Arabidopsis thaliana: one gene and its partner. The protein of the gene in region 2 interacts with the protein of the main gene of each other region in a biochemical or structural test. Each region holds a gene or a part of one and is shown on either strand. Other genes may lie near its edges.

The links. Proteins that work in one complex are often made in the same cells at the same time.
Region 1: of the proteins of HIS1-3 (region 2) and PARP2, one has a biochemical effect on the other in vitro, tested with the Arabidopsis thaliana proteins (one study listed by BioGRID).

The regions. Positions count from the first base shown.
Region 1 is NC_003075.7:1,047,801-1,054,694, reverse strand, and holds PARP2 (poly(ADP-ribose) polymerase), read right to left. Parts: upstream 4,930-6,894; 5' UTR 4,592-4,929; coding exon 4,508-4,591; exon of another isoform or gene 4,431-4,507; coding exon 4,169-4,430; intron 4,088-4,168; coding exon 3,942-4,087; intron 3,850-3,941; coding exon 3,768-3,849; intron 3,587-3,767; coding exon 3,351-3,586; intron 3,155-3,350; coding exon 3,025-3,154; intron 2,811-3,024; coding exon 2,755-2,810; intron 2,662-2,754; coding exon 2,588-2,661; intron 2,476-2,587; coding exon 2,429-2,475; intron 2,353-2,428; coding exon 2,303-2,352; intron 2,196-2,302; coding exon 2,133-2,195; intron 2,040-2,132; coding exon 1,959-2,039; intron 1,850-1,958; coding exon 1,739-1,849; intron 1,648-1,738; coding exon 1,572-1,647; intron 1,469-1,571; coding exon 1,326-1,468; intron 1,205-1,325; coding exon 1,131-1,204; intron 1,020-1,130; coding exon 914-1,019; intron 828-913; coding exon 735-827; 3' UTR 509-734; downstream 1-508. Other genes in the region: AT4G02400 (U3 ribonucleoprotein (Utp) family protein), read right to left, coding at 186-452. UniProt on the Arabidopsis thaliana protein: Involved in the base excision repair (BER) pathway, by catalyzing the poly(ADP-ribosyl)ation of a limited number of acceptor proteins involved in chromatin architecture and in DNA metabolism.
Region 2 is NC_003071.7:7,844,059-7,847,535, reverse strand, and holds HIS1-3 (histone H1-3), read right to left. Parts: upstream 1,538-3,477; 5' UTR 1,442-1,537; coding exon 1,355-1,441; intron 1,283-1,354; coding exon 866-1,282; 3' UTR 505-865; downstream 1-504.

The DNA of each region.
Region 1 (6,894 bases), on a different chromosome or scaffold from region 2:
TTACCAATCAATCAATTAAAAACTCTCAATTTTGGATTCACCAATTTGTTATAGCGTAAGAATCCCGATAGCAAAAACCCTAATTGAGCTAAAACCAAAATCTGTAGATTATCTTCTTATCACTAAAGTTCAAAACTTGCAATTTCACACAGTGGCGGAGAATTAGTGAAGAGAAAGAATAAAACCTCGAAATCCTCGGGAAGCTCGTAGTCGTAGTTATCGACGCGGTCATAGCGATTGTTTTTCTTAGACTCTTCCTCAGGCACACCTTCTTCATACTCATACAAATCGACGTTTTCATCGTCGGAATCGATCTCATCGTCATCTTCGTCAGAGTTCAAAGGACGTTTCTCATTGGCAATAGTCTTCAGGATTGAATTAGGCAAATGAGGACCTTTCCTCTTCTTGTTCTTAGCTAGGGTTTTCGAAGTAGATTTTCTCTTTTCTCCCATGGCTGCCTCTGCTTTTTTTTTTTTTTGCCGTTTAGTTTCCGATTGAGATTTTCGTAGGGTTTCTTCTCTTTCGCTTAAATACTAATAAAATCGAGTTTCAGAGAATAAGAATTTCTCAATCATACCAACTAAACCGGATAAAATTGGGTATGGTTTGCGGTTTAGCGTACCAATATACGAGTGAACCGTGCAAAATCAGAGATGAAGGAGTTTGAAAGAAATACAATAAAACGCTGATTTTTGGATAATTAGTTGATGTTCAAAAGCTAATATACATAAGTTTTAGTGCTTGTAGTTGAATTTGACTTGGATCACATAACGCATCTTGATTTGTTCCACATTGTAGACTATATATTCGTTGTACAACAACATCCCCTGCAAAAGTTATATAAAGTCAGTTTATGAAATTTGAGAGAGTTAGATTTTGTGAATGTGTGTTGAAGCAAGACAAAAACAAAAACCTTGGAGCATGAACGTTCCACTGGTTTGCCAAGTGGAACAACAACACCGTCTTCTAGTGTTTGAGCCTCTGATGGGTTTGGTGCTGTTTTCCCCACACCTTTTGTGCTGCAACCATCAAATAACAAATCAAGGTACAGTACAAAAATAGTAAATCATAATTCATTGCGGTTTGAGATAAGGAACTTGTGTGAAATATGAATGAGATTATCTTCATACCTTAGCTTTCCCGGGGGTAGATTATCCGCGTTATAATCTGAATACAGAAGTTCATTCATGTCTCCCAAAGCAACCTAGAGAAGTTTTTATCGTTAGGAAACATAAGGATAGTTATGTTGAATGGCTATAGAGGTCCTGTAGTTATACAGTAGTTTTGTTGTTTTCTATATGAATAGAGACAAGAAGCGAGTATACCTCGCAGAGGAGCAGAACGCCATCATTAGCGCCAGTGTTGGCATAGCAATAGTTCGCACTCTTGGAGAACATATCCGCAAAGTAAACCCCTTTTCCAAACATGTAACCAGTTACAGGCGCTTCAGGAGGAGCTATTCGCAGACCTGCTTGGTGTCTCATAGTTGTTCATTTTACTATGCAATTGAAAATCCCCCAAGAGGAGAAGAAAAAAAGTAGTTACTAAGAGGAAAAAGAGTAACATGTTACCTTGAGATAAAATACCAGCCCAGTTAGTGAGACGTGAACCGTGCCAGAGTAGCATCCTGTTCTTCGAACTTGAAAACTGCCAAGAAAAATTAAAGTCTCACAATGCCAAAAACGAGAAATCAGAATAATGTGTATGGTACTGACAAGCTCGAAATACCATAACATACCTGTTGGAATCGATCAGCTTCAACAGCTCTCGAAGCTCTAAATAGTTGAGCAATCTCAACCGTATATCCCGAATGCGTCTTTGCATGAGTGTTCTCCATGTAATTAGCAACCTGATTTTGGTTTTAAGGAGTAAACACCAAAAGGTTTAAAACACAGACATGTTTGAGATGCTCGAGTATCAAAGATATTTGTTCAAAGTTCACAAAACCGAAAATTTACCATAGAGAACTCCTCTGAATCATTTCCTACTGGCGTCAAACCACAATTAAGTTGCTGGTAGTGATAATATAAAGGATCATCCTACAGCCATTGCAAAAAATAATGTCATATTCTTAGAGAACTATACGACGGAGTGATTTCATGCCTTCAAACCACATAGACTGACTGAATTACCTGCAATCCCGGGTCGACGGACAACAACTTTGTTGCGAGTTCAATCTCACCTAATGCTTCAACCTTACAAAAAAACGATATATTAAAAACTACACAAAACATGTAGCGACAAACCATTGCTTTTCTGAAGACCAAAACTAGTCAAGTAAGGAAACAGTAGGAAAAATTACCATTTCAATTTTCTGTTTCAACTTTTGAGGAGTGTCTATAACAAACTGGCCTGTTACAGCTCGGAATTCAGATGTTAGTGAATGTTTAGTTATATATATCGTAAACCTTAGCACAGATGAACTTACTCATTTTCTTAAAACCAAAATCATGAGGTATCACTGTGTAGAACTCTCTGCATCAATGATAAACAAAGTTAGACTAGTTCAAATCTAATTTCTTTATGGGAAACAGTTACATAATCAACTAAATGCGAAAAATTGTCTAGCAATTAACCAGATACATACCCACTCAGTTCCTCAAGCCTCGTTCTATCATACCGATCAATCACCTCCGATATTCTCTTCAGCACTTCATAACCCTAGACATGTGGAAGAGGAGATTATATCATCTGAAATCACACCAAACTATAATTTACGGAAATGAGACCAAACAGACTGTTTACTATCTTTACCTTTGAAATTGTGGACTTGCTTATCTTGCCGAGTGGCAATTTGTTAGCGTTATATCCTTCAATTCCAAATTTAGAAGATGTATGAAAAATCAGCAAGAAGTAAAGAAACCAGCAAAATGGCAAACAAATGGATAGGACAAAAGATAGGAAGTACAAACGCAGGTAATAGGACACCAAAACAAAGAGATAATGTATCGACATATAAAAATCACTGTTAATCTGCCAATGGATGCTCTCACTTGAATGAAGTGATCAAAGTTAGACTCAAACCTATTTCCATCATATGCTGTGCCATCATGCTGACATTACATATAAGAGAGATGAACTTGGCAACCCGAGTATCTAGTTTTGATTGTTCAGGTTTAACTTCGGAAGATGAACTCGGAATATCATTATTGACCTGAGAAAAAAAACAATCGTGAACTCTGAGTAAAGTGCACATTTGAACGAAGAGAAAAAAAATATATAATTGCAATTAAACGGGAAAAAGAAAAGTAGATATGCACTCAAAAACCTCATTCCAGCAGATCCCTTGGATCATACCACACAACAAATAGTAAGAAGAGAAAGAGAAGTGAGGATTCCAAAACACTCACCGGTGAATCATTTTCCTCTTTTCCGTAATCCATTTCGAGCCATGTATAGGACTTGGGATGTGGGATAAACTCCTTTCTGTCAGACCAATAATTCTTTGTCTTGTCATTGAACTTATTGGTAAATATCTCTATCGCACGATCCCATGAGTCATAAGGCCCATCTAGCTTACTTTGTCCTTTCACACCAACTCTTCCCCATCTGGTGTAAACCATGTATGTCTTTTTACTATCCGACTCTGCACAATGCACAATAGATAAGATAGATCAATGATGATAGTATCTGGAACCAAGAAGAATGACAAAGAGTCATCAAAAGCTGCTTCAAGAGGTTTCCAGTACTCGAACAAGACAAGTATCGTCTCATTAATCTTGGAAAGTAACCAGGGAAATTATTGTTGAAGGTTTTGGAAGACTGACCTAGGACTTGTAGGACAAAGAACTTGTTATTATTATCCCTGACATTTGTCTGATTTAAGATAGCATCATAAACATCATCACCCTACAACATTCAACAAAAAAAGAAACAGTTTCTAACAACATTCATGAACACGATAAGATGCAAAAACTCAAGATTAGGTTCCAAATCCTCACCCTTTGTAGAACATGGTACTGACTCTTTATCTCATCAGGAATCCACTGATCTAACACCGCTGCACCCTTCTTTGTCGCGGTTACGATTTTCTCTTCTTTCTTTTCTTCTTCAAAGCCATTGTTGTCATCTTCAGCTTCATCTGTCCCTTAATACACAATGACAATAACAACATTAAAAAGACTCAATTTTTACCAAATTTCTCAATAGTCCAGAGAATTGAACAAACCATTACTGGATTTGACTGGTGCATTGGAAACGTTATTAGCATCATTGCAAAGCCTCTCAAGAAGATCCTTTTTGGTTCCTGTTGTATCTAAGCCTCTCTTAATAGCTTCCTCACGCAATTCCTTCACAATCATCCCACGAAATTCGCCAATTGCAATCAATTTGTTCGATTCATAAGTATCATTAGAAGAATTTCTTTTCCTCTTGCTCTTTGATTCTTCCTTCTTAGTGTCTTCTGCGATAGCCTCTTCAAGCCTCTCCACCTACACGAAACACCCAATAAACAAATTCGAATATCAACAAAATAGAAAGAGTATTTCAATGCAATTCAGAGAAATACCAGAACGGCTTTGACTCCAGTAGTACTGAGTCCACGCTCGGCGAGTTTTAAACGGAGTTCGTCGACTTTGAGCTTGTTCGCCATTTTCGTCTTCTTCTTCAGGAGAATAGTTCGTCGGAAAGGGAATGAGACTGAGGAAGTATGGTTTTCGTCAGAAGTGAGTTCGCGCGAGCATTTGAAGAGTCTTCTTCTTCGTTTTCTTCTTCATCGATGGCTTCCCTTGAAAGCTTTAGGGCTTTTTGAAAAATTATTTTAAATTTTTTTGACAAAAGTTCTCGTTCATATTTGTGGATATTTCCCATATAACTTTTTAATCTCCAAAAGACCCCAAACTTTTGGATTGATTCTTAAATCCACCCCTGACCTTTTTAAAATAGTATTTATTTCCTACCATTGATGATGGCAAGCAATAGAAAATCATGAAAGATAAAAAAAAAAAGGTTAAAAATCTAGTAACAGGCAAATACTTTGAAAAGGAGTTGAAATTTTGTACATAGGTTTAACTCTTCTATTAAAAGAAACAAAAAATCTCTATGTTTTAAAATGTACTACTAATTTATAATTTAAGAACATTTTTCTGAAAATTTTGCTGGTTGTTTAACGAAAAGAAAAATATACAAATAGTTTTTGGCTGTAATGCTACGCCACTACTCACTTTTCCAAGGACGTGCATACAAATTACCGTAAACGGATTATAGGACTTGTGTTGACTAATGACACAATTCTTTTTTATTAAAAGAGATTAGTCTCCTTGAAGAAAAAGGGACACAAATTATTCGTAACATGTTAATCAAACCAAGGTCTTAAGTGGCTACCAACCGCATACGAGTGTTGAGCCGAGCAGTGCTGTGTCGAGCCGGGCTGGATTTGGCATTTGGAATATATGAAATGGGCCAACAACCCAAAAGATAAAATTTCGTTACTTGGACAGTAAAAACTAAACATGCATGTTTATTAGCCCGTAATCTGCATAATCACAACTTACGAAGAAGACATAAGAATCAACAGGCCCATCATAAAGTGGGACTAACGATTTGGTTTCCACTATTATTTGGCCCATATATTGTTAATATTGTACACTTCAAATATTATTTAGTTAGAAAAAAAAAAAAAAAAACTCTTGTAAAACTGGATGGTTCTAGTTTAGTTTTAAAAAATGGTTAGATGATAACGATATTAATATACGATAAAGTTTATATAAAATATCTTTTCATAACCAAATTTACATGACAACTAACATTCGGGTAAGCCATGTAAAAGACGAGATAGAGATTTTGACCAAAGAAGAAAAGTAGAGAGAACATGCAAAAGCCAAAAAGAAAACATAGCCAAATGGTTGAGTGGTGTAGATGGACCGAACCAACAGACATGTTCTCAGTTCATATACCAACCGCCTAACATTACAGCCTGTCCCCATCCCCTATCTTTATTTTTCTTTTTGGCTCATTTAGCTTCAACTTTTTTTAATAGGTGTGATTAGAACATACTAAAAAAAACATATGTTTTAACTTATATTATATGAATAAAGTGTTGTTTTTAATAGTTTATATTTCTATTACAAGTACAATATATAGGATATTTTGGTTAACAATTTTAAATTTAAAAGATATTGTGAGTACAAATCATTAAGCTTAACACAAATGTTCATTGCTTCTTAATTCTTACAATCGGAAAATTTGGACAAAAAATCTAGACTAATCTCCAAAACATTGTGAAAAATTGGGGGTTTTTTTTATCATTTAAATTGTCTATAGTGGTCAATCATTATTAAAAAAAATTGTTTTTTGTTGAAATTTTAAATTATAAAAAAAAAACACGTTTATACATAAAATGCAAAAACTTTTCTTAAACCAAATTACAGAGAAAGGCTATCACCATCCTTGTCTTGATGCCAACCACACTTGTAATCCCAAAATACATACTTAAACTATACTATACTAACATGAATTGGTTATACGATTATCTATCTAGTTAGCTACATAATTCATATAATTAGTTTTTTAAAATATACTTATGTAATGATAGTAACTAAAAAATATACTATCTCGAGAAATCCAACCAAAATGCTATGATAGTATATAAAATAAAATGAAAGAAAGAGGAACCAAGTTGTGAAACCATTTACCAAGAAGAAGAAGAAAAAAACAAGATGGTCGAGTCTCGTGATAGTATGAAGCTGGGGCCGAAACCACGAATCAAAGAACCATTTGACGATGCAAGTGGTCATCGATAACCAATCAATAGAAACTCCACCGCCTCAAAATATCATAGTGCTATTTAATTTTTCATACTATCATTTATTGTAGGCTATAACATATTTTTGTATTGTAGATGGACGGCTAGTACACGCAAGTTAGTCAATAAACTTTTAACAAATGGCATCTTGA
Region 2 (3,477 bases):
ACTATATTTCAAAGGCATTGGTCTTGAGAAGATGTTGATTGACCGAAAGGAGGAGCTAATGATGCTCTAAGGAGGAGCGCTGTTTGATCCTCAAGGTAAGTTACAAAGACTGAAACCGTTATCTAACTGTGCATATTTCGACTACCTAAGTAACGGATCGTTTACAACTGTGTCTAATTGTATTCGCTACTTTTAGGTACTGGCTTACGAAACATTGATAATCTAGTTGAATGTCACAAATATTTTGAACTCAAAGACATCATGATAAACTTTATAGCTCCAAGCAAACCAAATACATAGAATTTTTTACTCTCTTAGCTCAAATGAATAAAACTGAAAAGTATCTATTTTTGTATTCATTACTAAACCATATAGAGATGTTGGTTTACACGCGAAGAGTTGTAGTGTTTGTACTAACGATTACATATGAACCAATATGTTTTGTTAAAACATCTGTATGGGCTCCGTGTAATCACTAACTTGGGCCGTTTCAAAAGTCTTTAGGCCCCATCTTAGTCATACATAAGTATTAGGCGTTTTTTCTTTTCAATTCAACGACTTAGATAAAATACATAATTAGCATTTAGTTAACCAACCCCCAACTAGAAATAATTACTCGAATTTGTTTCGCCTTCGTTTCTTCGATTCTTTGAACAAATAATAGATATCAACCCAAGTAAAAATCTATCTATTTAGAGTATATTACATGGTAGTACTGGTTATACATCCGAAGACTCTTTACTCTTACACCCAAAAGAGACCACACCAAACCAAAACAAAGTCATCATCCATTTACAGAGACAACAAAAAACCTTATTCTTCATATTCACACACAGTTCCATCTTCTTCTCCTCCTCCTCAGTGATCAAGCAGCGGAAGCTTTCATGGCCTTCTTCTTACCAACTGAAGATTTGATAGACTTAGGCTGTCTCGCCTTCTTCACTTTCCTCTTCTTTTCTTGTTTGTTCACAGACACAGTCTTCTTAGGCCTTGTCGAAGAAGACCTAGTCCTCTTTGTGATCTCTTTATCTTCTTGCTTCATATTCTTCTTATTCTTCTTGTCCTGCTGCCTCGTTATCATCTTGGTGGTATCTGAGAGCTTGTAAGAGGCTCTGATCTTCACGAGCTTACCTTTAGCAACAGAGTTTTTAAGCTGTAGAGAAAGTGTTTTACGGAAACTCTCTGGAAGTAAAGACTTGTGTTTCTCCTCTATCTTCTTAGCTATAGCATAAGGGCTTGATCCGTTCTTCTCTTTCAGGACCATCAAAGCCTCTTTTATCATCTTCATCAAAAACCAAAACGAAAAAACTAAGTTTAATAGATAGGAACTCAAAAGAAAAAGTTAGAACCTCACCTGAAAGTATGGAGGATGAGTGGTGGTTTTCGGTTTTCGCGGCTTCTTCGCCGCCGGAGTCTTCTTTAAGATCTTGTCTTCTGCCATTAGAGGATTAGTGAAAGTGTTGCTTTGCTTGTCTTGTCTCTATCTGTTAAATTTTTTCGTGCTAGCTTATTTATAGCGCAGGGAAGTGTATTCGTGTGTTTTCTGTATTCGTTATGGTTTTTGTCAGAGGATCGATTACGTGTGCATTAATAAATCATGAGCGTACACGTGTCGTTTAAGTAATGGCTGGATTCCATGTGTTTATCCGAGAAACACACTTGGTGGCGGTGATCGTCCTTTACTCTTACTAGGCATTTTGTGAACGAGTGTGTTTTCTACTGAAACACAAAATAAGTTCTTATTCTTAATAACGTAGACGCAGTTATTAGGCCAAATAATTGGTTAAATTTGGTTTAATGAAAAAATTGATGGGAGAAAGTTTAAACCAGAGCTTTGTTCGTCATCTTATTTGATTTTTAAAATTGTTAGCTCACAAAAATTGCGATATGTGTCAAATTTACTAATACAATATTTTTTTTGGTCGGTATTTACTAATACGATATTTACATGTGTTTCAAATTTTATTACATTTAAAAACAAAAATAGAAAAAAATCCTTAACCCTATCAAAAAAAAAATATATACATAAAACAATTGTTTATATATTCAATTTTTTATATTTAATATATTAAACTAAACTCATTCTATTAATAATTGTTGATCTATTCAAAACATAAATAAAATTCCCCATTTTGTTCTTAAAAAGAAGTGTTTTAATATTTTTAAATATTGTAACTTAAATATGTTTATCTTTTTATTTTCTTAATTTTGTTTTATTTTCTTCTTCTCAGTTATATCGTTCTATTTATTTACCACATTTACCGAGAGGCTTTGCTTGGTCCAACTTTTTCTTTAGTTTTTAACAATATGGTTTTAGAAAAGGTAAGATTGAAATTTGGTTTTAGAAAATATATATTAAATAAAATATATATAGATTATCATTTGAAAAATTTATTAAAACAAAAATTTATTTATTTTTCACATCTACCTATTTAGAGAGGTTTTATCTAGTAAAGTTATTAACCGTTCGCAAATTTTGTGTTACGACATATATAAACAATTTATGAAAAATTGCAAGACTAAATTAATTACGGAGTTAATGTTTCAAGGTGTTATTCATTATAATTGAAAAATGAGTAAGTATTGAACCCAAATACAACTATGTTATTATTGTATCATCGTTTTTTTCTTTTTGGAGTATAACATGTAGAGTAAGCTACAATTTCAATAAATAAGTTGAAAAGAAAAAAATCATAGATTTTTAAAACTAAGCTAAAACTCTATTTTGGTATAGGAGGAGTTGCACCCACAATTCTTGAGCATTGTTCCTTTAGCATCGGAGGGAAAAACAGAATGAATGGAATTTTCGGCATGGAATTGACTTCAGCGTCCAACAATGCTTTACAACAAGATGGACCTAAATTGCCGAATTTTCCAGTGAAAATAGATTGAGAAACCTCTACAATGCATCCAGGAATATCCATCACGGATGACCAACATTTTGTTATGTCAGGTAATCCTGACATACCAGGAATCGGTTCGAATAGAAATGAAAAAGGAAATGGAGCCGGAAACTGAGGCATCTAAGCATTTACAGAAACGATGATGCATAGAACCGCTAGGAGTGAAAGCATATTTTTTATAGACATAATGAGAAATTGAGTAAAAAGAACCTTAGTATAGCCAAATATATGCTGAAGGTTATATTTGCTTTTGATTGATGAACAACAATAAGACTTTTGATTATTTATATGGAATGAAATGTGAAACTATGACATTAATTATCTTACTTTAACATCTTTGGATGCTTTAATTAGAAATTTCAATAGTTGTTTTATAAGTATAAATAGAGTTGAAACTCCAAGAAAACAAGTAACATTAACTTGGAAATATTGACTACAAAGAGCAATAAAAGTGTAACCGGCTTCACATAATTAATCAGTTACCAGTATATATCTCAAAATTTAAACCAATAAACCGATTTATTCGAATTTTCTAGAGAAAATTATTTGAATCCTTAAATCCCATACAATGGAG